4 linked regions of the Drosophila melanogaster genome follow. The protein of the gene in region 2 interacts with the protein of the main gene of each other region in a pairwise test. Each region holds a gene or a part of one and is shown on either strand. Other genes may lie near its edges. The genes, in order: CG8668, Spase25, Peritrophin-15a and CG15083.

Region 1 (7,937 bases), on a different chromosome or scaffold from region 2:
CGAATCGGTTTCCACTTCTTGGCCAAACGACCGTATATGGTACGCTTGTCCTTGTGCTTGTCCAGGAAGGTCAGCAGCTTGGGCACATTGATGAACATGTCGTCGTCCGTCTTGAGAATGTACTTTGCCTTCGGGCAATGCACATCTGCCCATTCCAGCGTCGATATTGTCTTGAGCGTGAGGTTGTTGTACGAGTCTATGAAGTTTCCCCGTATCAGATCTCCATAGATGAAGTTCTCCTGGGTAAGCGCTTTGTTTATGGTTTCATTGGTGCCACGTCCTAGGACAAATGCCATGCCCACGTCCCTTCTCGTCCCGTAATGCATCCAAGTCTGCCGGATGGACATGCGGGCTGCATCGTGAGACATCGCTGAGCTAATAAGAACCAGGAGCTTAATAAACTCTCCGCCTTTCGGACATATGCGCTCCGCATCGATCTCCTCATCCACGTGGCCTGGCTCGTAGAGTGTCTCGGTGGCCACTCCCTTGGAGGGATCTACAGGAGCACTTGGCACCTTGCTCTTCGTCGTTTTCACAGGTGGCACTGGTGGTTTTGCGGATTTTGGCAGAGGGACTGCCGCCTCTTTCTTGGCCTCCTTAATTTCCTGTATCACCTTGGATTCCGGTTCCTGCTTTTCGGACTCAACGCCCGAGACTTCCAGTTTACCGTCCACTGCGTTGAGTTGTGCCATATCCGATGGATTGCCTTTATTTAGAAAGATAAACCACACCATTAATTGAAATGCAAACAAACACTCAAGCGAATTCTAGTCCGTCCCCATAGACATCTGTTCGACAGTAATCCAATAGTATGAAACAATATGTCATGTTTACAGCTCTTTCATAATGAAACACGAAACCTGGTCAAATAAGCGGACTGCACATTTCATTCTCCATTGTCGTGGAGTTATACAAATGGGTGCGCCGCCAGCGGGTCTTTGTCTAAGCAAAACAAAACTAAGGCAAATTATTACGCAAGATGAAACAGAAAGAGGATCAATTTGAAGGAGCAACTAAACTGTTTATCGATCTGGTTTAACAATTTGAAACCTGGATTAATAGGTCTCAAAGGTCTAGCGCCCCCTAAGTAATAGTATAATAATTACCCGTGCTACTGTTCGAAGTGATGTTCTTCAGTATCCTATCGGCGTTCTCAATAAACTTTTGCAAATTGGAAGTGGGTATGAGGAGGTCGGCATCGGAAAGGCCTGGCTGCACCTGCGACTGTGACTGGGGCAGTTGTTGTTGTGGTGACTGGGCGGGAATCGATTGTTTAACAGCCAACGTGTCGGCAGAGCTGTTGTTGTTGGTGCTACTGTTGATGTTGCCTGTGGAATAAACATTATTAGCTTAATTAGCGTCTAAGTCTTAAGCGCACCCACTCTCACCTGTGATGCCATCAACACTCTGACCATACTGCTGCTCCTCCAGCAGCTCATCCGCCATAACATTGGGCGTTTGGTCAGGGCCACCAACCTGGGGACTGGCGCCCGCGGAGCCACCGTCGAGCAGAGCATCCTCGTCGATGGTGGGCAGGCGGTGCTGCGGATGCCTCTTGTGTATCTCTGCCTGTTGCGGCGGTAATTGTTGCGAGTGTCTGCTGGATACGCTTTGCTGCTTAGACGAACTTTCACCAGGTGGCGAATTGTACTCCTTATCCGTGCTATTGACTGGCGGCACTTGGTCCATGGGCTGTCGCCCAGGATGACTGCCAATCAGCTGCTGTGGCGGTGATGCCGCAGGGTGCACATGGTTCGCTGTGAGGGTGCTAGTCGTTGAGTACGAGGCGTAGATGAAAATGGTTAGGATCACCACGATTAGGACTAAAAAGAAGCGTAGCATGCGCGTGTTGTGAAGATTGGCCATAGCCGCCATGGTGGCACTTGCAAAATCTCTCAAATCTCAGTCAGTCTAGGTCTCAGTTTCAGTCTGGACTCCGCTTCTCGTCTTCAATTTGTGAGTATTATGATAACGATCCCTCACGCTTGCGATTCCGACAACGAATGCGATGGAACTGCAATGAGAACGCAACGGAAATAAAGGTAAATAACTGATTCAGCTGATTTGTTATGTGCTCCGATGCCCGGCGCTATAAGATATAGAAGGAGAGAGGGCGCACTTCTGTCCAGCGATTAGATCATTATTTCCGCAATAATAAAACGACAATAATAATGGCAATAAAAATTCGTTCAAAACATTTAAGTGTATAATTAAATCGTAAATATTTTCTTATCCAATATAGAATGGTATTTCAAAGTCGAGTATGGCCAAAGACTCAGTTTTGTTGCTTTTCTTACCATTGGCGAGGAATAATGCAAATATTTGTGTAGAGAGTGAGCTAGTTGGAGTTCACTACAAAAATAAAGATAGCGTCTTATGTACTTTAAGAAACGTTTACAAAAGAACACTTAAACGTAATTAACGTTTTGTTTCATTTTTTTTTTTGCACAATATTTTTCAAAAATATAGTAAAGTCGATGCTTAGTTTTGAACTGTGTGAATGTGCTATTTTATTTCGGAAAACACGAGCGAAGGGCTTGGCTGTTTTGCATGGTAATGGGAGTGACGAACTGAAAAGCATTTGGGAAGTTTCCGTGGGCTAATGAATTTGCCAGAAAAAGGAGAACACACGCACAGCATCCAGAATCGTCACGACATCGCCATCGGCTCTGTCTCCACTTTGCATGCGCTCGAACAAGTCAACAACAGTCTTGACCCTATTCCGCGACTCAAGAGAACCCCAACGGAGGCAGAACAGAGCTCAAAGCACCGGACAGACTCATGCTCCATGCTCCAGGTGGCAGCGAACGAACCACTTGAGTCGCGTTCCATGGCCGCCTGGTCGATAAGATTTCTTATCGTTCGATCCCATCTGGGTATTTCAGGGCTTTCTCAGAATTCCAGTAGTCTTTATATGTATATCTATAGATTTATTGGGCATTTCTCTAGGACGCCATAAAAATAATGGTAGTAGTTTGCGACAGCTCGATATAAAAATCAATAAAACAGCAGGACTCAGAACCTCGTAACTCTTTTACCAACTTTCGATTTGGCCCCGAACCGTCTTGAATAGTCAATGAAAATCCCCAAGTGCGTCACTCTGGGTAACTGTGCTACCTTAATTGTTTGTCGATAAGCCAGTTCGTATCAATCTTATAACACAAATCTTATCTGGTTGTCTAGCGGAGAATGGTAAGTCATATATCTTACTCAAATACCTCATACTAAAGATGTTTATTTATTTGCACAGAATGTTTGTTGGCTAATTAATTATTTTCTTAAAGCCAAAAATATGTTTTTGAGCTTGATTTGAGTTTAATGCGGATTTTATCATAGTTTCTTTATTTGTTTACACGTGCCTAGATATCAAATAACTGTCAGGAAATGACGATTGAAACATTTTTGCCAAAACATCACTTATCTTACTTGCTACCTTTTACCTATGATTAAAAATCGTTTTGAAACCATTTAACAAGTTTTTGAAACTTATCTTATCTGCTTTGCAGAGGTGAAGGAACACCTTAAGTCGCAATTCGACAAGGTAAAACCCAATCGAATTAAAAGTTGTGTCTGCTTCTTTTTCTTTCGATAGAATGAGAACCTTTAAAAAGATGCAATTTATATCTTTTATTAAATGCAACACAAGCATTTTCATTATTGGTCACTTGGTCAGGCAAGTTAAACGCAAGCTGATAAGACAATGGCTAACTTCTAAGAATTTTAGCTTATCAATTAATTATAATCACTACAAATTTACTGTTCCACAACATTTATTATTTCTTTATTGCGATAATGCTATACTGATATCCACACAGTGACATTTAATTAAAATAGCTTCGCGAAATATTTTATCAGTCAAATGGGCTGATCAACTTCATCGATGTGGTCTGGTTTGGTCAACTGTCTGCCGGGAACCGGAAAGAATAGCCACGAGTACGAGCACAATGGAATTTTTTTTGGGGGGCTAAATCCGACAATGTCGTATCGTGTTTTTATGGCTTATCGTGAAGCTGAACGGACGGACGCACACATAGTACAGCGAAATTCTATTTCCATTTAGATCCGCAGCGTGACGTGCAGCGCATTGATAAGAGATAACCCTTTGTTTTTCCATCAAGAGTGAAAGTGTGACTTATCTTGTGCGATGAGACGATGAATCACTCTCTATGCATTGGTTAATTACAGTTTATAAATCGTTTAGTATATGTGCATTTTACTTTGAATTTCTGTAATAATCGCGACCCGTTTCTTATCAGACTTTCATTTCCCTTGCGGGATATAAACATTAAACATACATGTTGAATATGCTATGAACTAAAGGTTCTATTCTAGCAAGTCATATAAAAAAAATAAACTTTTTATCAGCCCAAACTTTGGTTTCTCTTCATAATTAAATCTATAAACAGTAATAAATTTAATGTTCTCCATGGATTTCTAACCAGTTCCCATAACTCACTAGGCATATAATTGTTCAATTTAAAGAACTTTGACTGTAATTGTTCCACATGTTTTAGCAGTTGCTTTTAGTGCCTTGTAATTGTGTGCAAAATTACCAAAGAGCCGTGAAATTTGACGAGAGCGCGTAATTTGATGAAGTGTAACTCGGATTCAGCGGAAAAAGTTGGAGGCTTCGCGAGGGGAGTGGTGAACGGAAGTGGATCCAAGCTTCCAATCCGGCTGGCGGTCGGTTATATTTTTTTTTTTTTCGTGGCCCCACTCCGACTCTGCTAATAAGTACAATGAACCGCAGATAATCGCCGGTTGGACGGCAAACGGGTTTTCGGGCGTCTTGAAACTATCTTCATCTCCAACGGCCCACTATCAATCACAGTTTCGACCAGGAAGATTCAGCTGGACTCCGGATCGTGCTAATGAAAGTCTTCAAAAGAAATTGCAACGAAGTACCTATAAATTTCAACTAAAATCTGTATTCCTACCAGTTGGCAGTTAACAGCGCCGTTTCATTTGTTTTTAAAACACCGAGTTCACAAAAAGCTTAATCACATAGATGTGCGTTGCATTGAAACAAGTAGAAGCAAAGATCATTTGACATTTAACTTTCCCGCAAATCATTTTAAATGCAAATTGAAGTAGGGAAATAAAAATGACTCTTCAAACTCATTTTTGTTGTGCTCTCAAGAAGCTAAACTTACTAAGGAACTAACGAGAAAGCGGAAACGTCTTAGCCTACAAATTCTAAATCTTGCCTTGGTATTCTATTCGTTGATAAGAAAGTTGTGGGAACGCATTTCTGGTACTCTACAGAATATTGTAGAACTTCGAGAAATTAACGCTAATGAGAGGGTAATAATTTGATTTCTTGCGTACATTTGTTCAGAAATCGAGCATTATTGCAGTCCAAGCCAGTGATACGAGGAACGCCACATCGACGTGGAGGTTAGGTGGCGTTAATGAAACCTCCACTTGACTTGGGCTAACTGGTGGTGCAATGTCCGGCCGTGGAGTTTGGAAATGTGCGCTCGTCGGTTGCTTAAGCAGACGTAAATGTGTGTTAATAAAATAACAGAAAAAAAAAAACAACAAAACAAAAACCCTAGGCAACGACGCATCGTCATCGTTGCGTCGCCGAGTCTCGTTGTCCATCCGAAATCTTGGAATCTCCGGGCAGTCAGACTCACTCATTATAAACTTACCTCCCAGTGCGGTTTAGCTGCGTCTCCCTTCCTCGTTCGCTGGAATCTGAGATGGTGCTATTGTTGGACCAGGGTCAAGCATAATTACTTGCTTGCCTGCTTATTTTTAGTGCTTATTTAACGTTAATAAATATGCCTTTTGTTGACAATTAGCGATGATGAATTGCTATCGTTGTTGTTGTTGTGGTTACTCTTCTGTTATCCTAATTTGTGTTGTTGTTGCTGTTGCTGGGCCCCAGGCGCCACCACGGAAATCGTGTGGCTTGGGGAATTTTTTCTTTCTGGTTATAGTTTTGCGCGTATTTCGGCATTAATCGATTTTAATAACGCCAGCCCGTTTCATTAGTCATGCGGGGCATGTTTTATAAATAAATAAGCATTAACACCTTGGCAAACGAAGCGATTTGTTGTTGTTGCTGCGAAGCAGTTTTTGATTTAATTTCGCGTTGCCCTCGATTTTTTTGGAGGTTTTTCGATTGCAGCCTGCTGATGAAACGCGGCTTTTTAACACTTTTAGGGCTTTGCACAATTGGCTGCGTTACAGCGGACGCAAATATTCTAATTTTTTCCTCTTTTTTTGTGGGAACACCATTACTCCCACTTCCGAAAACCAAACCGATTTTGTTCGCGATTAGCTCAACATTAGTGATGTAAAGCAACATCGATAAGTTAAAAATTTATGTTTTTACTTTCGATAAGTCGATAACTGTGCTAAAATGCATATGTTATGGTCACCCTATGACGGTTAACAGCACTGTAGACCAACAGCTGTTTAATTTGCAGCAATATAATAGCGCCTTTCTTGATAGGACCAAAGTTCATTAAAACCCCGAAAAAATTGGACCCTAATATTATTTTCCTTAAGTGTTTCATTTCCCTCCTTAATTTATGTAACTATAACGCAAACTTCATTGTGCATAGTAATCGGAATACTTATCGCTTTCTCAGATTTAGTGAACGAAGAGATGGCGCTGATTCCGGCTGTTACCAGACTCACCTCCTCCGTAATTCGGATACTGGGTTGTAATCCCAGTGCCATGACGCTCCAGGGCACCAATACGTACCTCCTCGGCAGTGGCAGTAGGAGAATCTTGATCGACACTGGTGACGAAGACGTGCCGCAGTACATCGCTCACCTGGGAGATGTGCTACAGCAGGAAAAGGCCTCCATCGACACCATCCTGCTGACCCACTGGCACCACGACCATGTCGGCGGTGTAAAGAGCATTGTGGGTACTAAATTGGCCGAAAAGGATTGCCGCGTATTCAAGTTTGGGCGTACAGATGCTCCAGATGTGTGCCCCGAGATACCGACGGATATCAAACTCCATCCGCTAGCACACAACCAAGAGTTCACCACGGAGGGGGCGAATGTGCGGGTGGTTCACACACCCGGTCACACCACTGATCATGTGGTGCTGGCCATGAACGAGGGCACACTCTTCAGCGGCGATTGCATCCTTGGCGAGGGCACCGCCGTCTTCGAGGACCTATTTGAGTACATGAAAAGCCTGGAGAAGATACTAGACATCAAGCCGCAGCGTATCTTTCCAGGCCATGGCAATGTCATTGAGGAACCAATTGGCAAGATTGAGTACTACATTAACCATCGCAACCAGCGAGAACAGCAAATCCTGCAGTTCTTCGTTCAGCGGCCCAACGAAAACTTGCAGGCTATGGACGTCGTGAAGGTGGTCTACAAGGAGACACCAGAAAACCTCTGGCCCGCCGCCGCCTATAACGTGAACCACCACCTAAGCAAGCTGGAGAAGGAGGGAAAGCTGCGGGTCAGCAAGTCTGCGGATGAAGAGTTCTATGTGTACCAGCCAACCAGTGCGCTCTAAATTCTTGATTTTCCTTTTTTATTTTGTTGAGCGTATATAACTATTTGTTTGTAAAAAATTGTTAAATAATTTTCATTTTCTTTATACCTGGTTATCACACTTTATGGTGTCGTCTAATAACATATTCCACAAGGTAAACTGCTCGTTATTCCTTACCATATGGATGGTAATTTTGTCGCGGATGTGGCACGTCTCGAATTTCGTCCGGGTGTTAGCCATCTCGCGCACATTTACCCGCCGGATGTTCAGACTTTCAGCCACAATGCCCGTGGTGAAGACATCTTCCAGCTTTAAGAATGCAGTATTCAGGGATTGGACATACAGAGCGTGAACAATGTCACCAGTGAGCAAGTAGGCGGGTCCGGTGGTGAAGTAGGGAAAGGTAGGCTTTCCATACTGAGCGTTGGATATGTGATATTTAGACCACCTGTTTCGAATG
Region 2 (3,709 bases):
CTGAAGACGGAGCTGGAGACGGAGCCGAAATCCAGTGGCGGCGTCGCTAGCAACAGCCGCCTGGCACGCGATCGCATCGATCGCATGTCCGCCGAGGTGGTGGACTCCAATCCGTACAGCCGCCTGATGGCCCTGCAGCGGATGAACATCGTCAAGGACTACGAGCGCATTCGCTACAAGGCGGTGGCCATTGTGGGCGTGGGCGGCGTGGGAAGCGTCACCGCCGACATGCTTACACGGTGCGTGCACAACAAGAAGAGAAGGGCAACAGTCATTGTGCACCACAGCTAGCACTCCAAATATGTTGTCTTTAATTAAAGGCTATGTATTAATCAATTGATTTCCTGCAGCTGCGGCATTGGCAAACTGATACTCTTCGACTACGACAAAGTGGAGCTGGCCAACATGAACAGACTGTTCTTTACGCCCGATCAGGCGGGCCTCTCCAAAGTTGCGGCCGCCGCCGCTACCCTGAGCTTTATCAATCCGGACGTGGAGATTGAGACGCACAACTACAATATTACAACGGTGGAGAACTTTGATCGCTTCCTGGACACAATATCGCAGGGCGGACGGATAGCTGGCCAGCCGGTGGATCTGGTGCTCAGCTGTGTGGACAATTTTGAGGCACGAATGGCAATCAATGCAGCGTGCAATGAACGCAATCTCAACTGGTTTGAGTCGGGAGTTTCGGAAAATGCCGTCTCGGGGCACATTCAGTTTATCCGTCCTGGCGATACCGCCTGTTTCGCTTGTGCACCACCCTTGGTGGTGGCCGAGAACATCGACGAGAAGACGCTGAAGAGAGAGGGCGTGTGCGCCGCTTCATTGCCCACAACTATGGGCATTACGGCTGGCTTCCTTGTCCAGAACGCATTAAAGTATCTGCTGAATTTCGGCGAGGTCTCTGACTATCTGGGCTACAATGCCCTTAGCGACTTCTTTCCCAAGATGACGCTCAAACCGAATCCGCAGTGCGATGACAGAAACTGTTTAGTTCGGCAAAAAGAGTTCCAAGCCAGGCCCAAACCTGTGCTGATCGAAGAGAAGGCAGTCAGCGAAGAGCCGCTGCATGCCACCAACGAATGGGGCATCGAACTGGTCGCCGAGGATGCGCCAGAAAGTAATACAACGCCCGCCGAAACCCCAGTGATGGGTGAAGGGCTGAGGCTCGCCTACGAGGCTCCTGAGAAGTCCAGCGAAACGTCAGAGGAAACTGTATCTGCAGCTACCGCGGACGAAACCAGTCTGGAAGACCTGATGGCGCAAATGAAGTCCATGTAAATTGATTCCGTACTCCGTATTTATAGACACTTTTTGTAAAACACACACTTTTTTTTTGATAAACTCAGCTTCGATTTGTGTAAAACTTGGGCCGAGCCATTTTTTATTTATTTATATATAGTAACTTTTAGTCACTTGATTAAATGCTTTATGCTCAAAATTATTTGAATTACGCGGGAAATTTCAATTCTTGCAGTTTCTAGTATTTCAGTATTTTAAGCTTCCCCTATCTGGCAGCACGGTCAACTAGTCCGTTATCGATTGGCAGCGATAACGATTGACAATTTTGTTGTCGCGTTGTCACACAAAAACGAAGAAAACTCCTGAAAAAAGAAAAAAGAGTTTTTCTGAGCATTTCGCAAACTTCTCTTGGAAATCAAGGGCATCAAAACACAATAGAGAGCAGATAGAAGATGGGCAAGAAGGATGAAAAGTCACAGCAAGGCGAGGAGGTGAGTAAACCGGTTGCCGGCTTGGCATTTGGTCCATTAAGATGTGTTCCACGTCATTGTAGAATGTAAATGTAAACTAAGTGAATATGTGCATAAACTAACTCCATCCTGTTTCATGTGCCCTGCCAGCTGGTGAAGGTCAACAAGTGGGATGGATCCGCAGTGAAGCACGCCCTCGATGATGCAGTGAAAACCTGCCTCCTTGGCGATCGTCCCCAGCTGAAGGAGCAATTCGGCCTGGTCAACACCCGTTTGGCCCTCTGCGCCCTCGCCGTTTCCGTGGCTATAATGGCCCATGCTTGGGACTTCACCCACCCCTTCCCGGAATCCCGTCCAGTGCTCCTCTTCAGTGTTTTGGCCTACTTTGCACTCCTCGGCATTCTGACCCTGCACTCCAGTTTCCGCGAGAAGGGCACCTTTGCGGTGGCCCTGCAGAAGGACAAGGAGCGGGAGCGCCTGTGGGAGGCCAGCTCCGATATGCGCAAGTACGACGACAAGTACCTGCTGACCCTCAGTGTTCGCGACACGAAAAATGGCAAGCGGCGCGAGCAGAGCAGCAACAAGTCGTGCGCCGCCTTCATCGATCAGAATGGCATCGTCCTGGACAACCTGGTGGCCAACGAGGTCAACCGTCTGTTCAACGCCTTAGCTGCCGACAAGAAGAACGCTAGCAGCCTTTCTTCTAATTAAACCAAATTCCCCACTTTTGTCTCATTAAATTGTACACTTTTGTGGTAAGCCGACTGTTTGTCTTTTGTAATAAGCGGAAAAACTATAATATAAAATGAATTCTTTGATTTACAGCTTAACATAAATTGTCTGAATCTGATAGAAACTTAACCAATGATTTGTGGACTATTTTATTATAATTTCATGGGTTCAGCTGCAAAAATCTAAAAGTTAAGAGGGCGGGGATTCCGGTGGCGGCAGAGGAAGAGGAGAGGGTGCCCAAACTGGAACTGGCGGCGATGGGGAAACCCATATTGCGCTGATAAGGCCATTGATATTAATTCCATATTTAACCTGGCTGCCTTCCCAGAAGTTAAACATCAAAATTGGGAGTTGTCGATGTCAAAACGTTTATATATATATATCAATGTTTTTATATTCCAAAAGCTCATATTTGTGACATACTAAAGATTTTGGCTACAAGAGAGTAATGTACGTAATGTAAAGTCTATATGTACGACTAACTCATGTGTTTTTAAAAGATTATTCTATTTGTTATTATATTTATTCACAATGTGGAGATGTCCCAATCCAAGTGTACCCAGAAATCCGAGTGTTTTTGACCTTCTTCCTGCGGCGCTCCGGCTTCCTTTGTCATCATCATCTTTTTATTTTTTCAGATATCTGTATGGGGCACTACGGTTCCTTTTCCCATTTCCCATTACCATCTTCTCTTTAATTTCTACATATTTCTTATGTCTTTCCAAAGCCTCAATTTCTGACATCTTCTGGGCCATTTTCTTTTTCATAATCATCTGCTTTTCTAACACCTTTGCTGCCATTGTATCCTTGGCCGTCTTTAGAGCCTCCAATTTTCCCTTAGCAATCTTTAGTGTCTTCCCGCATTGCCGGTCCTTCGACTTCTTTTTTTGCACTTTCCCCTTGGCCATCTTCGGCTTTTGCAAGTTTAGCTTTTCCTCTTTCTTATTTTTCTCAAGGACTTGCTTTGATGTCTTTCGCCATTCATCAATTTTCTCCTTTTCCATTTCCTTCCTTTCCATCTCCTCTACCATGTCCAGCTGCTCCTGCGTCTCCAGCAGCTCCTTCACCACTTTGCTCTCATCTTCCTGTGGCGACACTTCGGCTAGGGTAGGGTTAGCCACCTCTGCTTTGGTTTTCTTTTTCTCTAAAAACTTACGAGCCCATTCCTTTCCTCCATAAGGATAGTCATTATCCTTTTTATCTGCCAGAACAGGAGCCCATGGCTTCGGCGTGGTAGGACCGACAGCCTCGGTGTGGGCACG
Region 3 (2,994 bases), on a different chromosome or scaffold from region 2:
TTGAATCTAATCAGGACGACCTTGTCGTCGATATTACAAGGCTAAATAGCGACTTACAGATATAGATATAGTAATGAATAAAGCTGTGCAAGTGACTTAACTGAAAATGGGGCAAGTTAAGTCTACTTAAGCTTGAGAGCAACGTCACAGAAAAAGTCAAAGAACTTTGCCGCAATAAACAACACTTTGATTTCCCAAAAGGGGGTTAAAATATATGCATTATAGAATTATTTACTTGATTCCAAAGGATTCGCAACTATTAAAGCTTCAACGCAGTTTATTTATGGTCATGTGGAAGATAATTTATATTCTGATCTAGGGTACTTCGGTGAAGATCATTTCATTGCTACGCTTGGCTATGTCCAATGGAGTTTCCCAGGTTTGGCGAGGAACCAGAATCGAGTCTTAATCTCTCCGAGGACATATGATTACTGAGGGTGTTTTCAGATTCGACGGAGTATGTTGGTGTTGGTCTAGGCGTTTTCGGATATTCGACGCGAAGACGACCATCGGAGAGTACAGATGGAAGCCTACGTTGGTCATCTAGCTCATCTGGTGGCCCTTTAGCAATGGAAGGATCAGACGAGGTCCTCTCCATCATGCGGACTGCTTCCGTAAAGCTAGCTTTGGGCCTGCGCATATGTGGTTGGTGGTCGGGACTTTCTGCTACTGCTTCTGAATGTGGACTCAAGCCTGTTGTTTGATTCTGCTCCCCCAATTGGGTTAATAGTTTCAATATTACATTTGTCGGATCTGAGGGTCCTGCTGGCTGGGATCTCTGGGCTGCCTCCACGGCTGCAGTGACCATTGCGCGTCCCAATGTTTCGTAAATCGTCCTTATATTTCCCACATCTGGCTGGTCAATGGTGTTAGTACATTGATCCCGATGTCCAGGAGTTGCCTTCTCTAATTTGACAAACTCTTTCTGCGCTACGTGGACTCTTAGAGGTTCCTCCGGGTTCAATGACTTGGCATGGCCACAGCAAGGACACTCCGTCGCCATCCTTGATCCTTGCTCATTGTTAAACCTCGGAGGTGGTATGTAGATGGGCATAATACGGTCTTCTGGTCGAAGAACATAGTACACCGGTGGAGGTTGGTTTATGCTGCGGGAGAAATGACGAAACTGGCTTTGCGAATTCTTCCGCTTGGGTGTCGCATATTCCTCGGGTCGGATTCTTAAATTCCTTCGAGGAGGAGGGACATCCGTTGGAGGTCTTACATTCGGGGCAATGGAGACCGATCGACAAGGTCGCTCTGTCGATGTTCTGGAATTGGGGAACAAGGGTATCGTCTGCACCGAAATGGGCATGGCCTGCATCTGTCCACAGGAACTGGGCTGTTGGGACACCAGCTGGATCATAATGGTGTTCGGTGGACCTGTGCCGCTGGTGACCCTCGACTCCATCGCTATGGGAGATTTATCACGAGCAATTTGTAATCATTAATATCGCAAATAATTAGTTGTGTGACACCTACTGCGATTTAATGTTATATTTTGGAGTTTTATATTTCGATATGTATGGTATACGGTATAGCGGATGGGTTGATTAAAAACCAGGTTAGTAGTGCGGTAGTGCTATCACCAACAGTTAAGGGTAGTATATTAATATAAATATAAATGCGTAATTCTAATGACTTGTTTGCGTTAAGAATGTGGGGTTCCCCACGGTTAAGTATTAGGTATTTGAATAGAAGCCCCCAAATTTAAATTTCGATTATAAACCTTACTGTCCTAGTTTTGTACTATATTTAACTTATTGATAGGAGTGCTACCCAGTTTGGATTGTGGCACGCGGCATGACCTTTACGACACATCCATATAATCAAACTATTGCGTCAACAAAACTTAGGGGCGCGTACAATGCGCTGAGATACAGATACAGATACGGTGGGCGATACAAGGTGCGATTATTTTGAAACGATTTCATGTCGCTGCCAAAATAGAATTTCGCACAGGCTTCCCGCCAACGGAGATAACTGCTATTGATGAAAGCCAATATCAGTGCCGGTCTGGGGTATATAAGCTTGCGAATTCGCCCAGTTAAAGCACACTTACGAAACCAGTGGGAACTCAATTGCACCATGAAGTCCGGTAAGTTAGCTGAGCAAATCGAAAAGGAATCCCCATTTGAAATATACTTCAACCCTTTGCCGATCCCATAGCACTACTTTTGATCTGCCTTGCCTTCTTCGTGGCGCTCCTAAGCACCGGAAATGCGTGCGATCCCAATTCTGACAACCAGCCCGACTGCAGCGACGCATCCAACGTGCAAACGAACATCCGCAACTTCTGGGATCCCACTCGCTACTGGTGGTGTGAGTCCTCCACCTCCACGGCCACGGCTGTGTTGTGCCCGTTGTCCACTGGATTCGACCCCACAAAGAAGGAGTGCGTTTCATGGAGCGAATGGTCTTGGACTGCTTACTGTTGATTGCATTTTTAATAACAACAAAAATGAAAATATATGGCAAACTAAATGATTACATACATTGTTTGGATTTTTAAAATATCTCATGTTCTTGCGAGTATTCGAAGATATGGGAAAATGTTATAGAGCAACCTAGATTGGTATATAGAATATTTTGTTTCTGCTCAGTCGCTTTCTATAGGATGTTGAGTACAGTTGAGTGTTAACGAGTTTCATTATTATTTGTAAATAACATTTTTGAGATGTTTTTGTCCAAATGATATCTTGGAAACCTATAAAGATTAGACAGTACTCGTATTGCTACTAATTTGCATTTAATGCAATAAAATGTTTATGAACGAGAGAAAAGTAAATTATACTTTATCATATAAAGTATAAACAATATACTTTAATTTTACAAACAACTTTATTTTTTAACTAGAGCTTGGTTTCAAAATTTGTTTGTTTATTTCAAAAACACTGTGTCTCAGTGTGTAAAGTTTTACAGGGTATAAATTGTCTAAATAGGAGCCGGTCAATTCAAACAAATCATATGCAAATTTTTTGTTCAATAATATTTTAA
Region 4 (4,262 bases), on a different chromosome or scaffold from region 2:
TTATTTATATAAAAAATATATATTTTTTTTTTTGCAGCCAATCGAAAAATCTTGTATTGGCCATTTCGTTTGGATATACGTATAGACACAATCGCGTTAATGTAAATATATATGATGTACACACAGATTTTCATTCTCTGATGCATGAAATACAACGTAGTATATAATTTTGGTGCTACTAGCTAGAAAAATATTGGGTTTATCGGGGAAGCCCCATTGGAAACATTCGAAAAGGGATATGATGAAATAAGAGCTGGCCAAACGGGAAGCTACACTGGAGCTTAAATCTTGGTGTAGCTGGGATAGGAGTTGGTCTGCTGGGTCGGCTGTGGGATCAGCGGGCGCTGGATCTCACGGGATGCCTGGATCTGCTTGAAGAGCGAGTAGATGCCGTAGTAGAGATACCAGGTCAGCACTGAAAACGAGCGAATGGAGAAAAATAAGCATCGTGCCCAAGCGCAATTATAGAACGATCGCAGACCGTCGAGCGATAAGCGCAATGGGGATCCACAATTTCGCAACAACGGCCAGTGTGTATTGTGTATACCCATTTCCAGATAGAGCTTATGTATGTATGAAGTGGTGAGTCACTTACAGAGCAGGCCAACATCCACGAAAATGATTGGAAGAGCGCTCAGGAAAGATGTATTTCCGATGATCTGGGCCAGCATTGCAATATTGGTGATAATTCCAAAGACAAGCAGCACTCCATTGTTGATCAGCCAGGGCAGCAGGAGTAAATGGCGTTCCTGAAAGGCAAACGCTATTAGAACCATCTCTATCTCTAGTTAGTATGGTGTATGTACATATGTATTTGCAAAGAAACTTGCCGGTTTTTTTTACAGAATAGTGGGCTTTTAAAAAGGTCTAACTCTAGATATGTACTATAGTAGACACATATATACGCGATTGTACAGATTGCATATTGATACTAGACTTACCTTAACGGTACCTGCAACCAACATGGCCGAAGCCAGAAGATTAATCACCTTGAGCGCCAGGTAAACACTGAAAACGATGATTAGCACTGCAATAACCGCAAGAACAATGAAATACAATAAAAAATATACGATTGGTTGTGGGTGCACTCGATGGTTAGCCCTTACCACTGCGAATCTCGGTGGCCGTCTTGTTAGAATCTTCCGATCCCTTGGCGATCTGCTGCGCAATTTCATCGACGAATCCGAGGGCCAAGGACAAGAGGATCGTGGCCAAGAAGGATAGAATCACGCCCAGCCATCCAATGACCACACCATAGGTGTTCAGGCGCATACAGAAGACCCTGGACAGCATTCTGGATTCACTTGATTTCGTGCTAATGCGAAGATAAAGACAATTTTACTTCAGTTCGCCGGCGCAGCAAAATTGCAATTGCTTGATAAGTCGCAATTGGCTGACAATTAAAAGCTTTTGGGTACAGCGGCGTTGCCAGACTGGTTCAAGCAGTTGGTGTCGAAACTGTGACTTGTTCACCAGCTTTTAATGTGACTTTTTAACGCTAATTGTTTAAAATTCTTTTAATAACATTTTTATATTTTAAATATTTTTATGCATTTATTATTTGGCATGATAGTTAAAAAATATTTATTTATGTATTCATTAACACTGCACAGCAGCGGCTTACTTTCATAATATTTTTCAAGGTGCTAATAGTAGCTACATTACATATATAATACAGCATTAAATCTCTCTATTATTTTAAAGACAATTCCCCATTTTATTCATTTCACTCTTAAATGACGAAACATATGCAAACAAATTCATATAGTAAATGAGTGCACATATATTTTTTAAGAACATATCAGACGTAGTTTTTCCACGCTCGAAAAAAAAGTATTTTCGTGTTGCATAGTTTACGCAACCGTTTCTTCTGAGCGGCATCGGCATTTGCGCCACACTTATTATTTGATTCTTGCCCAGTGCGGTTGTGTTTCCGTGCGCTAGGTGTTCCCAAACCGGTTTAAGTGCCATACTAGCCATATTTGTATTTGGAAAATTCGCTGTAAACCACAGAGTTTCAAAATGAAAATCGATCTGACGGTGGAAAATGGCCCGTGCAATACCGATTTGCGGAGCTGGTGCCTGGGAATCGCGATCTATTGGCTATTGAGCATGACTTTCAACGTTATATTCGCTCCAAACGGTAGGAGAAATGCGAGAGGCGTGGCATTTGTTTATTTTCAGAAGCTGATTGCCCAGACTGACGCTATTTCCATAGAGAGACAATACATTCATGATGTTCACATGCGAAATAAACGAATGAGCTAATCCATTCGACACAAACGCGTTCCAATTCACAACCATTTTGGATACAACACCTCACCATCGATGACGACATCGCCGACAAATTCGAGCTGACAATTCATTTTAGGTGGCCCGAAATGCCATTTTCTCACAGGCTTGAATTTTCCAGCACAAAAAAGAAAATTAAATAATTTCCTTGGGCTGTGCATGGCGCAGAATTAAACTTAAAAGATTATTGGGTTTTAACAGTTGAACGCCATATGTCATAAAAACACTTAAAGCCCTGCATTTGTCCATGTCTCAAAGAAGTTCTATAAACCTTATTCTAAGCTGTTTTAAAAAGTTTGTCATATTTCATGTATGAAATGTGTTTAAAATATAAAAGAAGAATTTATGTTTTAGTTCTTTATGTATATGTACACATGTACATGAAGTGCATCAGTGCATCAATATGTACTCATTATATACGAAGATACATTTAGCAGTCGTGTTCTCAAATTTCAGACGGGAAGAAAGATAAGAGCACAGCAACGTTTTGCTTGGAATACATTGAGTCACTTATAAGCCCAAGTTTATGTTTACTTTCCACTAATTGTAACGGCTTTTTTTATGAATGAAATATGTACGTTCAATAATTTCTATTTAAATTCACTTGAATCCTTGCAGTTCTTACCTTTATTGGATTTGCCATCGTAGTAGTCGCCAATATTTGCTTATTGATAGGAACCCTGAAGGTAAATAAAATACAACCCATTCCGTTTTATTGAGTCAACGAAACCCAATCTACCTTTCCGAATTGCAGGAAAAGCCAATTCTGGTGTTCGTCTGGCTGATCTTCGCTGCCATTGAAGCCATCTCCTTTCCGTTTGCCGTCTTCGGGGTTATCTTCCACTACGGAGGATATCGCGAGGCTACCGGAATGAACAACGTTTTCGGTGCCCTGCTCGTTTACATCATCACATTTCGTAAGTATCGGCTATGAACATCAAATTGAGTTAACAAAAATGTACAGATCATACATATTCTCCGCTACACTTTCAGTATTGATCCTCTTCAGCGCACGAATTGTGTACTCCTTCTACCTCCAGCTGAAAAACAGCGAAGCCAGCAAACAAACACCGCGCGCCATGAATGTGGTTTAGTCCTTATCATTCTACACTACATAAATTGTCGGGGAAGAGCCCACCGTTCGTTCATCTCAGTGTTTGCAATAAAATGCTTTGTTTTTTATTTGATTGCAGTTTGTCGTTAACGCACATCTCTTACTCACATCGACTTGGGATCAACTATCAACAGTTAAATACATTGGTTACATACATATACATACAGGGTGCTATTGGCTATTGGGCTACCGCGTTCTTAAACATTCAACATTTAAAACGATCGATCACACTACGGACAATTATATACTCTCGACACAGTTCTCTATCTATATAGCTAGCTATCATACTCGGCATCGTCTTCTGCTCCAATCTGCTTACTTAGACATAAAATGGAAAGTTGGTCATCTTATTGTTGCTGCTGTTATTGATGTTTTGCGACTGCGTAAAGCTCGTCTCGGCATTTTGGGTAGTTAGCTTAGCCTGCACGGCCGCCAGTATTCGCACAGCCTGGCCAGTACTGCCCGACTCCATGGCAGACTCCATACCTAGGTTCAGGTTCAGCTTGAGCTCGAAGTGTGACCCACTCGCTTGGATCTGCGACTGCGTCTGCCGTTGGGCAACAGCCGGTTTTCATCTCGGCGTGGTTATGCTGGGCAGCTTTTCCAGAAAATCATTGGCCAATACCTCTTCGATCTCCTTCAAGCAATTGGCCACATCGTTCTCCGTATCGGCAAAGTTACGCGGCTGGGGGCAACTGATGCCCAGCGTGGTGAAAAAAGCGTACAGCTCCTGCAGCGACTGCAGTTGCTGGAAGTGCAACATCAGGTGTCTATTGCTGGGGCGTTGCAGTATCTGGAACAAAGCCAAAGGGACTAGTTAGCCAGATGACGCATACGATGAGAGTGGGAATTACTC

The links.
Region 1: the proteins of Spase25 (region 2) and CG8668 interact in a two-hybrid assay, tested with the Drosophila melanogaster proteins (one large-scale study listed by BioGRID).
Region 3: the proteins of Spase25 (region 2) and Peritrophin-15a interact in a two-hybrid assay, tested with the Drosophila melanogaster proteins (one large-scale study listed by BioGRID).
Region 4: the proteins of Spase25 (region 2) and CG15083 interact in a two-hybrid assay, tested with the Drosophila melanogaster proteins (one large-scale study listed by BioGRID).

What each region holds. Positions count from the first base shown.
Region 1 is NT_033779.5:8,125,364-8,133,300, reverse strand, and holds the start of CG8668 (uncharacterized protein), read right to left. Parts: upstream 6,301-7,937; 5' UTR 5,655-6,300; exon of another isoform or gene 5,329-5,654; intron 2,015-5,328; 5' UTR 1,876-2,014; coding exon 1,389-1,875; intron 1,329-1,388; coding exon 1,107-1,328; intron 707-1,106; coding exon 1-706. Other genes in the region: CG12375 (uncharacterized protein), read left to right, coding at 6,620-7,498; CG8673 (uncharacterized protein), read right to left, coding at 7,580-7,937.
Region 2 is NC_004354.4:11,483,696-11,487,404, forward strand, and holds Spase25 (spase 25-subunit), read left to right. Parts: upstream 1-1,554; 5' UTR 1,555-1,697; coding exon 1,698-1,736; intron 1,737-1,865; coding exon 1,866-2,426; 3' UTR 2,427-2,871; downstream 2,872-3,709. Other genes in the region: Uba5 (Ubiquitin-like activating enzyme 5), read left to right, coding at 1-239, 351-1,284; CG33235 (uncharacterized protein), read right to left, coding at 3,074-3,709. UniProt on the Drosophila melanogaster protein: Component of the signal peptidase complex (SPC) which catalyzes the cleavage of N-terminal signal sequences from nascent proteins as they are translocated into the lumen of the endoplasmic reticulum.
Region 3 is NT_033779.5:8,395,154-8,398,147, reverse strand, and holds Peritrophin-15a (Peritrophin-15a), read left to right. Parts: upstream 1-2,051; 5' UTR 2,052-2,085; coding exon 2,086-2,095; intron 2,096-2,166; coding exon 2,167-2,435; 3' UTR 2,436-2,483; downstream 2,484-2,994. Other genes in the region: CG13385 (uncharacterized protein), read right to left, coding at 347-1,408.
Region 4 is NT_033778.4:18,833,370-18,837,631, forward strand, and holds CG15083 (uncharacterized protein), read left to right. Parts: upstream 1-1,893; 5' UTR 1,894-2,022; coding exon 2,023-2,143; intron 2,144-2,910; coding exon 2,911-2,978; intron 2,979-3,046; coding exon 3,047-3,209; intron 3,210-3,285; coding exon 3,286-3,386; 3' UTR 3,387-3,473; downstream 3,474-4,262. Other genes in the region: CG15098 (uncharacterized protein), read right to left, coding at 282-415, 596-749, 942-1,027, 1,107-1,293; CG15099 (uncharacterized protein), read right to left, coding at 3,978-4,199.